Mytilus edulis: one gene and its partner. The protein of the gene in region 2 purifies or fractionates together with the protein of the main gene of each other region. This does not show direct contact. Links are inferred from orthologs where the notes say so. Each region holds a gene or a part of one and is shown on either strand. Other genes may lie near its edges. The genes, in order: polyadenylate-binding protein 1-like and eukaryotic translation initiation factor 4 gamma 1-like.

What was found.
Region 1: the proteins of eukaryotic translation initiation factor 4 gamma 1-like (region 2) and polyadenylate-binding protein 1-like purify together in Drosophila melanogaster (affinity purification with western blotting; 3 studies listed by BioGRID, with this or other methods). This does not show direct contact. The link is inferred for Mytilus edulis from reciprocal best matches to the Drosophila melanogaster genes eIF4G1 and pAbp.

Annotation. Positions count from the first base shown.
Region 1 is NC_092355.1:9,891,221-9,901,807, reverse strand, and holds the start of polyadenylate-binding protein 1-like, read left to right. Parts: upstream 1-6,087; 5' UTR 6,088-6,343; coding exon 6,344-6,548; intron 6,549-7,419; coding exon 7,420-7,613; intron 7,614-9,705; coding exon 9,706-9,821; intron 9,822-10,587.
Region 2 is NC_092356.1:41,478,325-41,489,316, reverse strand, and holds the start of eukaryotic translation initiation factor 4 gamma 1-like, read right to left. Parts: upstream 5,295-10,992; 5' UTR 5,238-5,294; exon of another isoform or gene 5,162-5,237; intron 5,101-5,161; 5' UTR 5,025-5,100; coding exon 4,951-5,024; exon of another isoform or gene 4,328-4,950; coding exon of another isoform or gene 4,306-4,327; intron 3,411-4,305; exon of another isoform or gene 3,401-3,410; coding exon of another isoform or gene 3,376-3,400; intron 3,198-3,375; coding exon 3,169-3,197; intron 2,365-3,168; coding exon 2,270-2,364; intron 1,477-2,269; coding exon 1,333-1,476; intron 929-1,332; coding exon 749-928; intron 1-748.

The DNA of each region.
Region 1 (10,587 bases), on a different chromosome or scaffold from region 2:
TAACAATTGAAGTCAACAACACTTAACGATTGCTATTTAAAGTTTTCGTTAGCTTTTATGTATTTTTCTTATCGGTTATGAAAAATTCAGGACATTTAAGCTCTTAAACTGCAATATTCTGCAAATGAAAACTCCGTTTCCAAGGAAAAAATCGGTTGCTATGGTGATAAAACTAAAAAAAATCCCACACATTTTTCTATTAAATTTGGTAAAGTAGTATCCAAACTTCATAACTACAGTGCTAACTATTCTGTACACATTTGCACTTTTCTGAAAAACACCAGAGAAAATGTGGTAATTCAGCAAAAATCCCAATTTCAGAAAAGTTGAAAATATGCATTTTTTCACAAAATTTTACCAAAAAATTACAAATTTGGCTGACATGCAATCTTCACTAAAATGAAGCTTAAACCAAGTTCTATCAATGTTATATATGAAAATTAATGAAAAATGCATGATTGTATTCATATTCAGGCTCTGAAATGTGGTGATTTCGCTGATTTTTGAAAGATTTTACAACGCTTAACAACCAAAAAATTGTGTGTCTGTTACCATGGCAACCACTCATATTTTCCCACTCAAAATTATTTTTTAAGCGTTTTTCACGTATTGCTTCTACTAGGCCAAATATAGATAAAATCTGAAACCCCCCATGTATCACATGTATATGGCACACTGCCTGGTTCTTATAAAGAGCTGTACTTAACACTATATTAATGAAACCCGTTGGATATAAGATATGTGAACGGATTGATAAAAAGTTCCAGGTTAGGGTGGGGTTGACGCCAACAAACTAGTTTAGCTCCGCCACATTCTGTATCATGCGCCTGTCCTAAGTCAGGAACCTGTAAATGACCTTTAGTTTTCTGGTTTGAATTTCTTTTAACATGACATTTCGGGGCCTTTTATAGCTGACTATGTGGTATGGGCTTTGCTCATTGTTGAATGTCTTACAGTTATTAAATTATGCATCATTTGGTCTATTGTAGTGATTTGTCTCATTGGAAATCATGTCACATCTTCTTTTTATATCAACTGTAAAGGTTAAAAATGTATATACAAAGACAAATAAAAGGAACATCATAGCAGGTATTTAAGATGATAAATCAGCCTAGAATACTGACTTCAAGATCTAGACCATCATGTATTGTTTATGAAGTTGATACGGAATATCTATCAACAAGTTGAAGGCTTTGGTTTCGTCCAATGAACTTTTTTCGATAAAGCACGATACATTCTTTGACATAATCCTGGTTTGTCAGCTTTGTGCTCATGCACTTGTGACGTTTTATAAAGTCTAAGTAGCAGCTGCAAGCTCTTAAATACCAAACGAGTTGTGAAAGCTGGTGAAGCGCCGTTAAGATGTCAGTTGAAATACCTCACCCCTTGTATTTATTAGGTATATATATTTTTGTTAGTTGCGAATTGATATTTGTATCAAGTTGAACCAATTCTTTCAATCTGTCTTACGATCAGAAGAAAAGTACAAATAACACATCATAGTCATAAAATTTTAGTCTGGGCAACACAGACACCACTCAATAAAATTGAGAATGGAAATGGGCAACAACCCGACCATAGAGCAGACAACAGCCGAAGGTAACTAATGGGTCTTCAATGTAGCTGGCCCCTATACAACTATGCATACTATTTCAGTGATAATGGACGTCATACTAAACTCCGAATTATACAAAAGAAACTAAAATTAAAAATGATACTAGACTAACAAAGGCCAGAGGTTACTGACTTGGGACAGGCGCAAAATTGCGGCGGGGTTAAACATGTTTTTTTTTGGAGATCTCATCTATCGTCTATATACCTCTAGCCAATGTAGAAAAACAAACGCACAACAATAAAACCGGAATGAAAACCATTGAAAATTATAAGATTTTTTGGAAATTAACACTACACAGTAAGCCATCTTGCAACCTTTCATAATTTTCATTAAAATTAAAAAATATATCCATAAATTCTTAAAGGAACCACAAAAATAGTCTAAGCCTTTTATTGAGTAATGAAATGCTACCCTTCCAAACCGATGTAAACAAATGCCAGTTCCAAGCCTTCTTTACATTTTCAAGTGAGAGGTTAAGCAAGCTATAAGTCATACAAGGCCAGGTTTAATCCACATAAAAAAATGCCGGTACCAAGTCAGGAATATGACAGTTGTCATGAAAGGTTGGCCCAAAAGGAGGGTGGAGGTGCCGGGTCCATTATGTTGGAAACATTTGTTTGATTACATAGGGAATCACAGAGGCATGGCTGGAGCAGCCCACCCTTAGGAAAGTCAGTGGGTACCCCTTATAAAAAGTTCCGGATTCGCCTGGTTGTTGTGATATCCATTCCTTTGGTGTGTTTCAGCTTTTGATTTTGCCGTTTGATGAGGGGGCAATAGGGTTAACAACACCTCAATTTTGACAAAAATAATTAACAAAAAATTTAAAATGCTGAGTACAGTTAACACCAGCTTTAATCTACACTTTTTTCCCAAATAAACACAAAAGCAATGAAAAGGGGAAATGCACACCTTCAATGAGTTCAGAACCACTGTACAAAGTGGCAGAAATGCAAAGACCTAATGAATCTTTAATAAAGATGATAAAGTTTCAGGTTGCACACAACTACCATTTCTTTTATGCTGGACACATGAACAGACAATTGAACGGATCGAAAGGCAGACGGAGTGCTAGAAAAATGACTATACGCAGTCATGAAAGGCCTCACCAGCCATGCATATTCCAATTTTTCAGACATGAATTATCGATTCTCTGGTTATGTGTATTTTTGTGTTTACGTTTTATTTCAATCAGTTGAAGCAAACCTTGGTAATCGTGCAACGTATGAAAGTGTGACAGACAGACAGAGTTATTACAATAAGGTCTAACCATTATGGTTGGGACCCTAATAAATTATGGGTACATATCGGTGTATTCATACGACTCGTAGCTTATAAGCTTTTATAAAAATGAATTGAAAAGATTACTGATTTTTATTGCAAATAATTAAAATCAATGTATAAATCACCAAGTACCCTGTAAGGTGTCACAAGATTCTTCCATCTAAACGTCCCAAGAACTTATAGCTTATATAGAAAAAGACTTTTGTCCATCTTCACATTTCTGAAGGTAGCAAGTTTGGCATCAATTTGAGAACCAAGTCCTGATGTGTCTGCCTCTTCTAACAGGTCTCACTGTTCAATTATTTTTCGAATTGCAAATTCAAACAGTACAGTTTATTTTTCCGACACAACTCCATTACGGTGCTCTGGGTCAATGTAACTTATCACACTTTCTGTATCATCTTGAATGATTTTATCTTGGGACTGACCAGGGTTTTAGCTGGGTGTGAAGTGGCCCCTGCTGTTAACTTTGGATCAATTATTAATAGGAGACAGAAATGAACTACATGGGACCCGGTTAGAAGTATAGGGGGAGCGTTGATATGTTAACAATTTTGTGGAACCTCAGCCATATATACCTCTTGATTTTTTTGTCAATTTTGATTCGTTTCGGACTTTATTGTAGTGAAGTCCATTTTATATGAACTAGTTACCCGGGTATTCCCTTCTTGCTTGAATTTAAAATGATTGCTCTCTTAAAATCAGCTTCTGGCGTAGGATTCTCTCGTTGTGTTGAAGACTCGTTTTAGTTTTGCCATGGGCTGTTTTCTGACTCTTTTGGCGGGTTGTTGCTTCTGAGACATTCCCCCGATTTCCATTCTCAATTTTATCAAGGATTACTATAAATCTCAAAGATCTCCAAATTAAGACAGTACTTAACATATTAGAGGGGGGATAGGAGGGGTCCTGATCCCGAAATCCCGGAGTTAAAAACACCGCGAAATCCCGAAATCCCGGGCTTAAAAACATGAAATCCCGAGGTCCCGAAATTCGAAAAAAAGAATTCCCGGATCCCGAAAGGGTCAATCCCGAAATCCCCAGCTTAAAAACACCCGATCCCGGAGTCCCGATAAAGGTCCTATCCCCCCTATATTAGTCCAAATAATTATGACTTCTTGAAAGGATAAAAATTATATTTAATGTGATTAGTTTGAATCTTAACTTTGACATTCTTGTAAATAACAGTGAAGATCAGTTCACAGAGACAAATTATGTCAAAAACAGTGAACACTTTAACAGTTTAAGTGTCAAGTAACATATTTATAACAGGAGTCCCATTTTCAATAAAAAAAGCAGAACAGATAACAGACAGTGGGTTAGAAACAGTTAACTATTCAATTTTATCTCAAATAACCGCAGTTAACAACACCTTAAAAAAGGTCAAAACAGGTTAACATAAAAAGGTATTACCCTCCTTTTTGATTAGCCCATACACGTAGCCAGGGGAGGGGGATTCGGACGACCCTCACCCTTGAAAACAAATAAGTTATAGTTATTGACCAAGCAAGTCGGTATATAGAATTTAATCTGCACAGCTCAGGTGACCCTTATCCCGAACGACGTTTTAGATGTGGACGATTTTTTTTTATTTAATAAGTGACGATTAAGACTTTGACAATTTGAGTACCTTCAAATCGTTGTATGAAGAAAAAAAATCATAACTGAAAGGGTTATTGAGTTTAGGTTAATTGCTTTTGAATATCTTTCCATCAATGATGTGCTTTAAATAATAGAGAAAGATAAACCGAGGAAGATGTTATATTACCTAAATTTTAAATGTTGAATAAACAGAAAATACGTTTTTCTTTCCAATCTTTTCCTCCCCCTCCCCCAAATTTCTTTGTATCTACTGTATTAATTTTTAAGACACGTCCATCTAAATGAAGTCTGATTGATCTCCAGCTAGGAATAGATATTGAAAAAGTCGTTATATTAAATTCCATTGAGTCTAAAACTAATCCAAATCAGATTTCTTTTATTCGGATATTCTTAGATTCATTTCGAATTCTTTTTTGGCGGAAATGACCAAACATTGTTTTAACTCTCTTTCTGACTTTAAAACACTGATTTAAGATTTATGTTTTACGCAAAATATAATAAAAATTTTATGTTCAAGCTAAGATGAAAAAAAAAAGGAATGAGAAACCTTTCTTTTTTCCTATTTTGAAACTACGATGTTTGTACAAAGTTAAATTTTGTCGCAATTTCAAGGCAGAAGTCGGATTCGGGGGTGGGGACGAACATGTCGTTCACCCTAGGATTCACGGGACAAAGTATCGTGTTTTGCCTTAAAATCGTCAATATTGTTTTAGTCTCGCTACACTCGGTGATATATTTTTTTAATTTGATAGAATAACGCCCCTGTCAACATCTAGGAACCGCCCCTAAAGGTAAAAATATATTTGAACTGTGCAGTATATCTGAGGTAGTTAATGCACACCTTTGCTGTGCATTATCCAGATTATAGTACAGTAAGAACAAAGAGATTTTGCCCATGTCATGTGTTAAGCACTGTTAAAGTCAACGTTCTGTTCGAATTGTGACTGTTAAAGTTGAGTTCGCGAGTCCAAATAATCCCCCTTTGGAAATTCCTGGCTGTAGACTTTCCGTTTTTAATTTTCCATGGAGTTTAGCATTTTTGTGATTTTTTTTATTCCAGTTCTTGCAGATTAAAAAAAAAAACCAGTTAAAACCAAGTTTAAAGATCTTTAAAAAAAACTTTTTTTTTACTTCTAATTTTGCAATTTTGCATTGATTCATGTTCCACTTATTACATAATGTATGTCAACATCTAACAACTCCCCACGGTAAATGTTGGTGGTCGATTAACTCATTGACCACAAACAATAGGGACCAGGATGAAAAGATTGACATGCTATTAAAAATGTTAAATAAAATTGCGTCATATACATGACCGTAAAACACGTGGATTAAAAGGGAGATAACTCTAATGAATCGGCGTAGTAATATTACACGTCACAATTTGAAAAAAAAATTGGTGGAAATTCTTTGGAAATTTTCCTTCAATAAAGAATAATTCTTCATACTGAGTACAAAAATAAAAGTTTACGTTTCGAAAATTATTGAAAGAGTAGAAAATGATAACTTGCCAGTGGTTTAATGATATCGATTTCGTTTCGATATTCTTGGATTATTTGAGTGTAGGATTATCCGGTTTCAAATGATATATAGATCGCGGCAATTTACCTCTCCTATCCCTCTTCTCAAATCGTGAGGTTGCCGTGTGTTGTGTGCGAAAAGTTGTCTCACACAACACTTAAACTGGAAGAAATTAAGCTAAAAAACTTTTAAAAAATACAAAAAAATTGAAAAAGTAACAAAACTATTAAAAAAACTACTGAAACGGTAGGTTTGTGATAGAACAGAAGCGAAAACAACTTATTTCTTCTAGCAATCAACAGCGCCATATTTTAACCTCTGAAAATGACGACTAATATCAATCCGGCTGGAGCAAGTTACCCAATGGCTTCATTGTACGTAGGAGATCTTCACCCAGATGTCACCGAAGCTATGTTGTTTGAGAAATTTTCAACAGCAGGTCCAGTCCTCAGTATCCGTGTCTGTAGAGATATGATCACAAGACGTTCACTTGGTTATGCTTATGTCAACTTTCAGCAGCCAGCAGATGGTAAGATATCCAAAGTTGTATATCTGATAACACATTTACATTTCCATGTATTCAAATTGTGATCATTCATACATTTCAATTTCACAGTCCTTAGACCAGACACATGACAGATTGTCAGTGGCAATTAAGTCAATGTACCTCCGACCTACATTTTTTGTACTCTCACATGTTTAAAAAAAAAAGTAGAATTAAAATTCAAACCCACTTAAACAATACCATTATCACAAACATAAGTCTCAAGTTAAGGTGGTCCAATTGCCCTGATGAGTTAATGCCGTATTCAGACAAGTAAAAACATCATCTTGGTTGTCAGATCAAGCTAGAAGTGTTACATGATTAAAATTTCACAAAATCAATAGTGTCTGCTGTTTAGTACATAGATAACTAGGTGATGACACTGCACGGTCTTAACCCCTTCAAATCACGAATGCATATTTTTCGTTTTTTGTTCGCACTGAATCTTCCATTTTTCCAAAAATAAATTATGTTTAAAAACACTGGCCAATCAGCTGCTGTGGCGTTGCTTTGTCATTATTGTTTTCATTCAAGACACCACTTAGGCCTTTCCGACCAACATATTTTTCCAACTGACCGTTGGAAAGCGGACTTCTATTTTCGTTGTTCTAATTTGGAATTTTAAAGTTGGAAGTACATGTACCTTAAAAAAATATTTCATTGACAAACTGTTTTCACTAACAAGAATAAATTTATATGTCATGTGTACGTACAAAATGTAAAATTCAAGGTTTTTATAAACTTGTAAAAACTAATACAAATGTACATGTTATCAGGTTTGATTGTGAATGTCTTTTCTGAAATTGAATCTTGACACAAAATATGCAGGCTGAACATACTCGTGTATCTTTTGCAGCTGAGAGAGCTCTTGACACAATGAACTTTGACACCATCAAAGGTCGACCAATAAGAATCATGTGGTCACAAAGAGATCCATCTCTGAGAAAATCTGGTGTTGGCAACGTATTCATCAAGAATCTTGACAAAAGCATTGACAATAAGGCATTATACGATACATTCTCTGCCTTTGGAAATATTTTATCCTGTAAGGTAAGAAAACTGTTAAGTAATGGATTTTATTTTTGTTGACAGGTGAGAGTAAAAAAATTATGTTGTGAAAATTGAAGGCAGGGGCGGATTCAGGAATTTGGAAAGGGGGATGCGAAGTTGTTAAAGATTGCCAAGCGGAGCGAGTCGAAAAAATTTTGGGATCTTTTTTTCCGTTAAAAAACATGAAATAAGGAGTATAAAAAATTGTCCAACCCTTACACTTTACCGCTACTATAGAATATACATGTACATGCCCCACGTCAGGAACCGTTTAAAAAGTGCATTTTACACTGTTTTCTCCCTGTTAATTGTCTATCATAAAGATAATGATAGTATATGGATTCAAAGCTACGTACTTATATATTTGATGTGGGACTTGTCAGTAAAAAATAAACATGAAACACTCCGGGCTATTTGATGAAATTAACAATTCTACCGACACAAGTTAAAATAGTCAAACAAGCAATCTTTATCCAAATGTTTGGTTGATATATTTCACCCAACAAAATTAAGGGAAGTGAGGGGTTCCAAAATAAACCAAAGGTTACAAATGAGTCTGAAATGATAACTAATTTATGAATGACGGTCGACAAATTTAGACATAAAGGCCTCACTCAGCAAGCAGATTGCAGTCTGGTCTTGAAAGTATTCAATATATCAGCTCGGCTAAACAGACGTTCAGGTCAGACATGCAAACCCTGACCTAAAAAAAATACATTTTTATTCATTATGTTCATTTAATGCTAAATAATTCTGTTGGAAATTTCCATTTCTAATATCTCACAAAAGTTGACAAGATTATTGTTTTCAGTTCAGATACGACCAGAATTCTTATTTAATTCACAAATCAGAGTCAATTTTTTTTCTCTCAAATACCTTGGACTGCCTCCTCATATCTGATGGTTTGTACCTTCGACTTTAAATCTATATATAGAGCTTATATTGACTGGGGAACATAATTTAGCTATCATGTCATTTTAAAATAGGCTTGGGCATTTGGGATTAAGCATGTTTTCGTAGGTAAATAATATTGCTGTGGATTTTTTTTTGAGTGTGTGTTAGAGTATTACTTTCTGTTTGGTTGAATTGTGAAACAGAAGTCACAACGTTCTTGCTCAATCCTGCGCCGCTTTGAAGGTATCATGGTTGTCATTCTTAGCTTTTAAAGCAATGTGTAACTGTAATTTGAATTTCAAAATGACCGAGTGACGTTTTATTTTTTATTTTTGACACAGCAGTGAACTCCACCATCATGATCATAGCAAATAACATGACTTTGACATGATTAGTAATTATCCGAGACAAATATCTTTATAAGTAAAGAATTGTCGCTTGAAAATCAAATACACGGGAAATGGCAAAGTTCACGAAGTCTAGTCTAATTAATCATTTTACAAAAAAAAAAAGCAAAGGAAGGGGGGGGGGGTGCCCTCTATGCCCCCCTCTTGATCCACCATTTCAATAGGTGGGTATCTCCACAGATAAAAATGACTAAGAACCATGTTACATGAACACAAAAAAAATTAAAATGAAAAAATAAGGCCGTCTAAATATAAAGATCTTTGTAAAATAAAGGAATTTATCACAGGAATTTATCACAGGCATTTGTTTCTGTCAAAAATTTTCAATGTGTTTGCTTCAACCGATATTTATTAACTTTCCCTTGCATTTTTCATGCATAGTTAAACATACACCAGTTTGTGGGTAATTGATTTATCTCTGCAACAAAACATGGTTCATGTCCCTTGAGAAAACCCCTCAAACAGAGTAACACACTTATGTCGAAAATTATTGACCTTTTCCAGACCATTGAATTTTTAATTCCAAAACTTCTGGTTAACTTCAGAAGTTTATAATATCACCTTGCAACCCCATTGGTCACATTTTCTAGTTACTGGTAACTAGTATAATTAAACAGGTAACCAGATTAATTTGACTAATCAGATTGCACAATCATATTAACTTCCTAAGTTGACCAGAAGTTTTGGAGTTACAAATTCAATTTTCTCGAAAAAGGTCAATAATTGAATAACTTTCGTTATACATGCGTTATTCTGTTACTATATGTAAGTTTTGGAACATTTATTTTTAGATTGTCTGTGACGAGCATGGATCACGTGGATACGGATTTGTACATTTTGAGACTGAGGAAGCCGCCAGAAATGCTATTGAAAAAGTAAACGGCATGTTGTTGAATGGAAAGAAAGTGTAAGTTTTCTTTGTAATCATTGGTTGTGTATAGAGTATATAAATGCGAAAATTAAAAGCTCAGTTTGAAAAAGTTGAAAACTTGTGCTTTTGATTTCTTCATTATTATGCCCCTTTGTACTTGTACATAGGGCCAATTAAAATTAAATGGTAGATTTTCATCCCCGCCCGCCCCTTTGAAATCTTCCCGCCCCGATTTTTTTTATTTTTGAAAAAAATACGATTTCCGGATTTTGTTCATTTCCGATACCAGTATAAACCGTCGATAATTTCGTTTCATCTAAAACTTCCTGTTTCAGATTTCGGTTTTCGTATTTCTTAGCGTATTCTTACTGAATGATTCAGTCGATATATTCTGCTGATCTTTGATGACAACATCATTTACCGAGAATAGAGATTGATTACGAGAAGGGCTTGAAATATTCGGGTTACAAGTAATACGCTGTGCCCAAGAACGCAAATCGCCGTATGTCACACATGTTTGTGAGTAAAACAACTTGGATTTATTTTATTAAATGACTTTGTGTGAAGAAATTTGGACTGTGAATAAAACACAAAAACGTTAGAATCGTTGAACACATTTGACTGGAATAAAGAAATTAGCACAAGCATGAACCTTTTAGATTGGTGACCGTACATTGAGTTAAACAAATCGACAAACATATGCATTTTTAATTTATTAATTGATAGCAAGCTCTTAGATTTAGATTTAGCCTTAGTTTCGTTTTTTTGCAGAAATAGAGAAAACATCCTCTGTCCCAATACC
Region 2 (10,992 bases):
CCTTCTACTGCATAATTTTACAATAAAAATTGCCGGGATTTCAAGCGCAAATGAGACCTTGCATATCCTCGATTCATACAAGGAAAAATTAGAGAGGACCCGAATGAAAACCGAATGGTTTAAGAGTCCTTATGAAAAATCCGTTGTCATCGCGGCATATGCCGCGAATAGCAGTGGCGGACGGCGTATGTCATCGCGGCATATGCCGTGTATAGCGTTGAAAGGGTTAAAGTTAAACTTTCTTATCTTTAACTTCAACATGTAAACTTGACACAAATGTCAAGGTCAAATTCGTCATGACCGAGGGTGTGGGCAAAATAAGCTTTATGGAAATGTTAATACAACTGCATTCCAAATATCATGGACTTATCATTTGTGGTTTCCTTTTAATGACCCAACAAAAAACTGGAGCAATTGTATAAAAAATATTGAAAACTGATCATGTCATCACATTAATTTTTTCATAACATTTTATCAAGTTGTATTGAACATTATTATCATACTTGACTTTTTATACTAATGTGTGCTATGTATATGTTTTTTTTTAGTTTGAGTTGTTTTACACTTGTCATTTAGGGCAAATTTATGGCGGACTATGCGGTATGGGCTTTGTTCATTGTTGAATGCCATACAGTGGCCTATAGTTGTGAATTCTGTGTCATTTGGTCTCTTGTAGAGTTGTCTCATTAGCAATCATTCCACATCTTTTTTTTTAAGTATTATAATGTTATTTCTATATAAATCTTACCATCATTGGCTGCATTTGTCCTCCAGGCTGAGACTGAACAATAATCTGTGTTCCATAACTATTCATGTTGGTACTTGGAGGCATGAACATAACAGTTGGATACATCGGATTCTGTCCCTGTCCTGGCATCTGCATCCTCTGCTGTTGAGGAGGCTGCATAGGCCGTTGTGGGTAAAAGGGCTGAAATAATAAACAGTGTTAATGATAAACAAGAGTCGATAAATTGAAATGACTGGTCTGTTTTACAGATTTTTTGTATGAATATTGTCAAGAAGAGGTTTTATATAATGCACAAACTTGTGAATGCAAAATATCTTCTTTTTGGAATAATATTTACCAATTTGCACGACATAAACCTTTGATTCAGATTGTACAAAAATGATTACGAGGAATAATTAGTTCAAGGTCATAATTCATGTACATGTATTAAACTTCAAACTATTAATCTTGCAAAGTAATTTTCTGTAAAATTAAAATATTTTATCTTGATTTAAAAAGCTGCCCAAAAGCATAAAAGCAATTTAATTACTGTAGAGCAGACCATGCAAGGAACTATGCTGTAAGCTACAAATGTATATACATACTGCTGGTGTCCTTTGTTGTTGTTGTTGATACATGTTTTGTTGCTGAGCCAGGGCTTGGCCTTGTACCAACTGTTGATTATTCAATTGTTTACTTATATCATGGGGATAGTTCTGTTGTGGGTTCACCTGTTGTTGAAGAAATTGCTGTAAAAAAGTAGATACCCATTTTATCATTTGGTCTGGTGGACAGTTATCTCATACGCGATAACACGTTATTTTTTTCATATTTTCCCCATCATGCAGCATCAAATAGATTAGAGTAGAAAACTGAAATTTATATCCAAGATGTTAATTAAGAGCTTCCCAATATAAGTGCATATTTTTCTAATTTTTATGCACAGTACAACTTACAATTCACACATGAGCAAAAAAAGGTAATTGTCTCATTTAGTACAAATATTACATATAAATATATTCTGCTAACTTTTGAATATTAAATCAAGTGTTAAACATCAATGGCAAAATAGTACATAAAAATTATAATAAATACAAATAATAAGTTCAATGCTTCTCTTACGAAAAAATACATTTTATTTGCATTGAGTGTGTAAGTTAAAGTAATATCTTTAGCTAGCTTACTTGCTCCAGTCTTCATGCTAAACATTTGAATCCACAAGCCTGAAGCTCAATTTTAACAAATTTTTAGTTGGATTTTGTTGGCGTGAAGAGAAGAATTTCACAAGCCATTGCTGTAGGACTTGTGGTTAAGCGTGAAGTCATAATTAGTTAAAATATACTACCCTCCTTTGTTAGTAGCCGTGTCCTACAGACAGATAGATTGGTTATATGTCGGACTAGTCTACTCTTAAAGAAGGGTGGTTTACCTAACCTACTAATGGCTATGGTTCAGCTAGCAAGCAAGCTAACCAAAGTTATTACCTTTACCTACTTACTCAATGCAATCAGCTCTTAACAAAATATACACATCGATACATACCTGTTGCACCTGTTGTGGATTAAAATACCCTTGTTGAGAAATGTAAAACTGTGGCTGCTGTTGTTGCTGTTGTACTTGCTCCTCTTGTGGTACCCCTAAAACAAATCATGCCTTAACATTATTTCATTGATCTTTTGGACAATGTCTGCGAGACATACAAGTATCACAAACTCGCAAGGGGTCATTCCTCATGTGTAAATACACACATATTCTATGTATGTAGCAGAATCTTGAACAACTTTAGAATCCATTGGCCCTGGGCATGAAGTTCAATTTATTGGCCTATAGAGATTTTTTTAATCCTGAGCTGGTGGGTATGGGTATGTGGTACATGTAACTCAGAAGACAGACGTAAACTTTTTTTTTAACAGTCAATTTTCTTCCCATAACATCTGTGTGGTATGGATGTCCTATCAGTCTAGCTGTGCCAACGGATAAATCATTAACAAAAGATCATCATGTTTTAATGAAACAACTAATTTTGCAATCTTCATCTGATGATGTACACTGGTGTTACAATGCATTGAAGTGAAGCTTGCACAAAAAGTTGTTCCTCCGAAATAATATGATTTTAGTCTACAAAGTCGATCATACATGCTTCCATTATTTAAAAAAAAAAAAAAATAGTTGTCCGTCTTATAAAAGATCAAAATGGAAAATTACAGATACCGAGAGTGAGCTGAAATACCCAGGTGACAACATAAAGCTTTTGACAGTTGAGGAGCAAAGTAACAGATCGATGGAAAGGTTACTTCCTCATCGTAGGTTACTCAGGAGCACAAGTCCAGATACTACAAAATATAAACCCATATTACCCCCACAAGAATGAAAATATTCTAATTAAAGCAGATCCTATAATAAGCATGCAGCCATACTGTACCATAAACATATATACTTACAATTGTTATAATTTGGTGTTCCTCTTGGACTGTATAAGGTTAAGGAAAAGGACTATGAGTTTAAATATTTAAATCTTCCCATTTCTAGGCTAGCACAACAAAGCTTTTAATTTGCAACCTGGTACCCGCAACATAATACAAGTTCTTAATCTAGAATAGTATATCTCTGACACCCTACCATACAAGGAACAAAGGGAATAAACTTACCCTTTTTACTGACACAATTTCCCATAAAGCATGAGCTACAAAAGGGAATAGGTTTAAGAATCATATCGCTTTTTAAATACATTTGCAGATGTGCATATACCTTATTTTTAACTATTATTGACGTGGAAATACCTGTTATGTAATTGCATTAATTCACATGGACATATCATCTTTACACTTTGTAGATATTATAATATTCTTGAACTAAAACATTGAATGAATAAGGTTGGATCTAACATTAAAATGACATTTTGTTCTCTTAGGATTAAAGAACACGAACTAAATATTGGCGAAGGGTTTTAAAGCTGACATGGTAACAAATGTGAACAATTTTTAAGGTTCCATCAATCAGATTAATAATCGGGAGGGACAGTTTCATGTACTACATATAAGGTCAACCAACAAAAATCAAGATTTTAAAAACTGCCCAAAACTGGTTTCAAGAGGTTGGATATCAGATTTTTTTTAACAAATAACCAATAGCTCATTTTTTAAATTACATGTGTGTATGTACATAAAAAATAAGTTGGTAAGATTGGTTAGATTCGTAACAGGAAATGTTAAACACGATTTTTACTTCCATAAGATGCAACTTCAAATTACCTTAACATTACATACATGTAGATATGCCAAGTAGTCTCCAAATTGAAAGCTTATTTTTTACCTTATCATAATGTGACAATGTCTAAAAATAAATCTGACATTGTACTTTCTGAAAATGCCTGTTTTTCCAATAAAATGCCCTGAACACAGATCTATACAAATACAGGTCAGATTGAGGTTAAAATATGTAACAACAAAATACTCATAAAAGAAAAAGAAATATCTCTGCTACTGGTATAAAGAAATTATATATAAAACCATAACTGGGAGTAACAAACAAATGTACAATAAATAAGGCATCATAAACAACAAAACAAGAATTCTTACTTTCTTTCTGGAATTTGATCATATCTATTAATCAGTGTTGCTTTTCATTATATTCAGCTTCCATTGTATGTTATTATTTTCACTTTTGTTCATCATTATAACAAAGACTATTGTGTATCTACTAATAATTTGTGTATTTGGCAAATATCCAATATCTGACAAATATTACACATCACCACATGTCAATAATCCTAAATATCATTTAAGGGTTATTTTAAAGAAAATTCACAAGAAACATTCCAAAATTTCCAAATTCATTTTGATATTTAACTAAACACTGTTGATAACACACTGTAACACTGTTTCGTGTTTTCATCTTTTCCATGATGTCGTAATTAATGTCATGTGATATGTGCACGCTCAAAGAATGTGGTTCCTCGTTCGAAAAGCCCCGCCTTCATAACGAGCTGTCGGAACATTATGTTACAGAAAAAAACAAAACAAACAACAAAAACACAATTTTAAATCAGATGTGCAATCAATAGTTCAATAAACTTGGATATTTCTCACACAAGTTGTCCCGAAAACTGCAAACGTGACAGGACGAAAAACCGGCATCTGTTCTCGTGCAAACTGACATGAAATAAAATGAATTAACCCAAGTAGTACATAAAATAAATTGTTGACTATGCATAAAAAGGATACGTTACACTTCTTTGCTGTGTATGTCCTGTTATTTGAGATGGTGTAGGTGATTTCACTTTTGGTACATTCGACATTTCATTCAACGTGAAAAGGAAGCGGTTTAGTCCTGGAAAAGGACCCTTCCGATGCTTGTTTCCCAAGCTCTGTCTCCTACATAAATTGAAACAAAATCATTTTTGTTAGAGTTCGTGTATTCAATTTTCATACTCACTAGTTTTTAGATTATTATGATGGTCAGATAATCAACGATGGCATAAGATTGTAGTCATGTAAATAAGTATGGCTACCTTGTTAAGGGTCTGCAAGGAGACGTAGCTCGGCTATTTCCGGTTACTTTACGGAGGTTACCGGCAAGGGTCAAAGGTTACCATAAATTCTGTTGTTTGAAGTTGCAACTAGTCAGTGTTTTTTTTTAAATTCCGGATTTAAAGTAATTAATAATAACAGAAGGTAATCTGAGTTTCTTTGTCATGATCTTTTGACATCAGTGACAAATGATGAAGGTAAAGAGAAATCGTTGAAACGTTAAAAAGGTTGAGTGCAAGAAAAAGGGGGGTATTTGGTACACTCACAATCACAAGACCGTAAACATTCGCATTAAAAAAGAAAAAAAAATGAAAATATCAGTATACAAACGTTAAATATTGAATAAGAATGTGAAGTCATATGTTATAGCACTAACCCGTGTTAAGAGAGAGCCATATTTCTTGCACATATTAAACAGTTGCAGATCTAGAATTTTTCGTAAGTGGGGGCCACTGGCTGCTTAAGAGGGGGCCCCACGATACACCTTATCGCTATTTGTCATCCATTACTGGATATCACATAGGTTCCCGTAGAATATTCACGTCATAAAACAAAATATCTGAGCCACAATCGAAAAGTGATTGTTGTTGACGTCAAAAGTTCAAGCGGCCGGGTCAGCCGGGAATAGCGTTAAGGTGTATTCCTTATATAATCAACCAAATTTTTTTCTCAAAAGGGGGAGCCCCACTGACCCCCCTCTAAATCCGCCTCCGCATAAAAGACACTCTTGTAGATTTCAAAAAAAGAGAAGCACTCACACCGGCAAAGTGGAGAGGGACTAATATAAGTTGCAATTACTTAAGATCCAATTATCATGTGTGATTCGGTGTCTATGTTGCAAGTTGTTGATTTGTTGATACACGTGTATATATATAAATATATGAAGTGCCTAGAAAATCAACCTAACAATGTTCATGATGTTAGAGTAGATTTGATTCTTTTCTTCCTCCCCAGCCGGGGCTGGAACCTGTACTTTTCACTTCATACTTCTATGACAACACCGCCTATCATTTTTGTATAGCCTAGTTGGTTCAGTGGTCTTAGAGCGTTGTGCATAGTGCAAGGCGATTTGGTGCCACAATATCTCATGAGTTTGAATCACGACAAGGGAAGAACAACAAATTTGCAAAAGCAAATTTATAAATCTAACATTGGTTAGGCTAATATTTAGACAAATTATATAAATAAATTAAAATATATATATCACAAATGGTTGTTATTTTATTACAATCATGACAATATCAAACCATTCATTGTTAAAGATTTCAACAAGGGTATTAGCTGCTTCTTAAAATACATGTAATTGCATAGTTTATACTTTTATAAATAGGTTGTGACTGTCTTTTTCATTAGGTCCATTAATAATAAGAAATTTTTTTTAACATGGGACAAGGATTTAGAAAAAAAATTGTGCATTACTAGACATGCTAGAGTACTACATGTACTAAATTTTTCGTGCTTAAAACTTCAAACTCTCCAACACTGTTTGGTAAAATCAAGGAATTGTATGTTAAGAAAGTAAACACAGGTGACAGCTTATATCAATAGTCTCTTCTCACAGAGCAATTATCCATGTCTGTCTTGTCAGAACTATGATATTAAGAAACCAAATAATGACAGAGGTCCTGTCATGTCTGTGGTCAGAGATTTTGACTTTTCAAGATTTCATTTCAAGATTTCATTTCAAGATTTCATTTCAATGCATTTTCAACTTTGTATTTAATATATTTTCTTATAATATATGTAAAGGGATATTGCAAGAATATAGGTGAATATTGTCGTCAGTAAATTTTAAGATTGCATAAACTTGCATTGTTAATTTTCAAACTTTTCACACAGCTGAGACCAGATAACGATAGTTAAAAAATTTGTAAAGAGAAAAAAACTCTGTTTCACTATTATTAATGTTGTTTTTCAGTCTGATTAAATATTTTTTAGAAATTGTAATTTTTTTTAATGACCTTGACTGGCTATACAGCCCTCAGGACTATTGCATCAGCCTCTCCATATTTGTACTCTTTTAAATATGTTAGCCTGGAACTATATGGTCAATATTATCAGTACTTCCACAGTGTCCATTTGGCCAATCTTGAAATAACTTAAAATTTCACAGTATGACGACTAATGCAGGACACAAATTTCAGAGATACAATTAGAACAATTAACCAAATATATTTTAGCAGGCAATTAATGAATGGGTATTATTGATTTTAATATTTTATCAGTGTAAGATCTCCAGGAAGTATATTTGCAATCCCCATGGGGCAGGGAACTGACAGAAGTGTCATGTTGAGGACATACTTAGCATGAGGATAGCTAATTACATAAGGTCATGACCCCTGGCATGGAGATGATTTATTATGTAAAATTCGATTACATGGTTTGTTATTTTATTGACCTGGAAGGGGTCATATTTCATAACTGTCTTCACTAGACCATTAAACTGGTTTTTGTAACTGGTTTTCTTGAAATAATCTATATTGTCATATTTTTCATATTAGAGTTGATGACATATGATTTTTTTAGATCTTTTAAAAAGTAGATATTTTGATTTCAAGGGGAAAATGGATGACATGCATTAAAATTTGAGAAAATGTTAGCATGCTGTTTTATGATTTAAAAGGAGAAAACCTTCTAAGTAAATAGTTTCTTATACTTTTGCATTATATATTAAAAAAAACCATAGAAATTACTAACATTATGATCTGTTTAAGTTTTTTAGGGGTAAATTCCTTCAAAAGTTAAAATAGTAGCTAACTTTACTTTAAGATATAAAAAATGCATAATCAATGTTTTTTTCGTCTAAAGATGTTTATTTGTATTATATCAGTATCAAAAGAAAAAATAAATAAAACAGCATAAACTTAAATTAAAGTATTTAAAAAATATTTCCCAATATTATATAATTTTCAAGTGATTAAAAATAATAACTACCATTGGATTGTTAAAGATCTCAATTTAGCAACCAGACCAGTATATTTATACATGTGTGAACAGGCTTTTGAAACAACCCCACAACAATTTTTTGTTAGATAATTTAGAACATTTTTTGCATAATGACCTGAATACTATTATTTAATTGTGACCTTTTAGGTCAATGGTTAGTTAAATTAAGGACATTATACATGTATAGATGTACAGTAATAAATTACCAAAATATATTGTTATTGATTTTAATTGACCACAGGTACTATATCATGTATATGCATAATATGTTTTGCCACAAGATATATATTTAAAAATGTACTGTTTAATAAAATAGAGATATATATATAAATGTGCGTAAATACATGTATCTACACTTTGACATATCTAATACCAAATCAAGAATATACTTAAAATGAAAATGACAAAGTTTTGTTGTATTTTTGTTCTCTTTTTTTTTTTGAAATATGGTGTAAGAGCCAGTGAATTATCAAAATGAAGCATTATTTAAATATTTGCTTTACACAGAAATTTCTGACTAATCCAAAGACTAGTGCTGATGAAAGGTCTAAGATTCCTCCTCCCTTTTCTCTCTCTACTTTTAAAAGTCTTACTTCAAGAGTTATGGGGAAATTTCACTGTTAATTACACCTTATGTAAGAATCCGGGGTTTTGATTGGTTGATAGCCAGTATTTTTCACCAATTTACTGTTATCAAATGAATATCCTTCATTTTTAACGCCGCCGGGGTATTTGCTAAAAGGATATGCCTTTTTTACCCTCTCTGCCGTGGTATTTGCAAAAAATACTCTATCCGACTGGACGCTTGTAACGTCACGGTCAACAATGCGTTTTAGTATATTAACATTCGGTGTAATTAAACAGATATATCATGTTATTGAGGGGTATTTGCGAAAAATACCAGTCTTGAGAATGAATTTCCCTCGCCTTACGGCTCGAGAAATTTTACATTCTCTCGACTGGTATTTTTCGCAAATACCCCTCCTTAACATGATATATCTGTTCAAAATTTTTGTTTCACAAACCCCATTGGTGTGACTTTTTAGGTTACCATTTAGTCAGTCTCACATGTCTCAGCCAAGTCAGTCAGTTGTGGAATACATTCTTACATACATATATATATATATATAGTCATCAATATTTATTATACATCTGCATTAACATTTATTATTGCTATTTTGTGCATTTTTCCTTTGATCTTTTTTTGTGATAATTTTTCATATCATGCTACTCGCTTGAGATGGAAAATTATCGCTAGAAACTAAGGCGGCATGTGGCGTTACTAATGAAATTGACATGAAATTGACAATGTCGTCATAGGTAAAATAGCGACAAACAGATTATCATTTATCCCGGCTCAAGCGAGAAAATCAATCTCGTTGAGATGATCAAAGATAATCTATAATTCTCTCAACTGAATGCACAATAAGAAGATGTTGTTTGAAAGCCAATGAGACAACTCTCCATCCAAGTCTCAATTTGGAAAAGAAAACCATTATAGGTCAAGGTACGATCTTCAACACAGAGCCTTGGCTCACACTTAACAGTAAGCTATAAAGGGCCCCAAAAATTATAAGTGTACAACCGTTTAAACGGGAAAACTAACAGAATCTAGTGTAAAAATAAACAAAAAGGAGAAACACAAACGACAACTACTGAATATCAGGTCCCTGACTTCGGACAGCTGCAAACAAATGCAACAGGTTTAAACGTTTTAATTAGTACCAACCTTCACCCTTACCCGCAACAATAGACGTATTTAAACTTGTATGCAAATTTGTACGCCATTACGTAGAATCACACAGGTTCCTGTAAACTTTGACATAACAATTCAAAAAATTTGACGTCGCATGAAAAAGTGATTGTTGCTTGACGTCAAAAGGTTATTCGGAGGCGATCTACGGTCATTTGGAGACAAAATTCAGCTAAATACCAAAAGTGTAAATACGTTTATAGTGGAACATCACAACATAGAAAACACACTATAAGATATCAATTGAAATGGCTTAACATGCATTTTAATGTGAACATGATTTAGTAGCCATTTCAATCAAGTTTTTAGATATAAATGATAATCTGTTTTTAATTTTTTTTATTAGACGGTTAATGGTGGATATAAAACCATGCTAATCTGAAAACTGTGATTGAATTAAGACTGTAGTTGCCAATTTGCCAGCTGCCATTGCAAGGTAATATTTTTATTCCTTGCTAAAAATGTTGGTTAAGCATATAAAGCTTGTGTTTATATATAATTTTTTTCAAGTATGGAATTTTTTCATGTAATATAGAAATAAAGAAGATTTAGTTTGATTATCAGCAACACACATTTCCTCCAGAACCAAGGAAAACAAGTTAATAACTTTAAGTCAACATACAGTCTTCAAAAATGAGCAAAACAAATACTGCATAGCAAGCTATAAAAGGTTCTGAAATAACAAATATAAAACAATTCAAACATTAAAATAAATGGCCTAATTTACAAATTTACATTGCTGTCTGAACATCTCAATTTGTCAACTCTTTTAAGGCCCTGACCACTAGCTTGTCCAGCTACTTTGAATTAATTAGCAATGTTGCTGTCCATCAGATTTTCAGTTCTGAACTTTAAAGCAGAAAGGCTAGATATATCTCTGTATCAACTACATGTATATATACTTCAGAGAAGAATTCATACAGGAACTTCATGATCAGTTCATGAAGTTACTGAAAAAATATAAAGAAAAGATGATGTGATATGAGTGATAAGGAGGTTGAATCTGTACAATTTTAAAATTATTTAAATAAATGTCT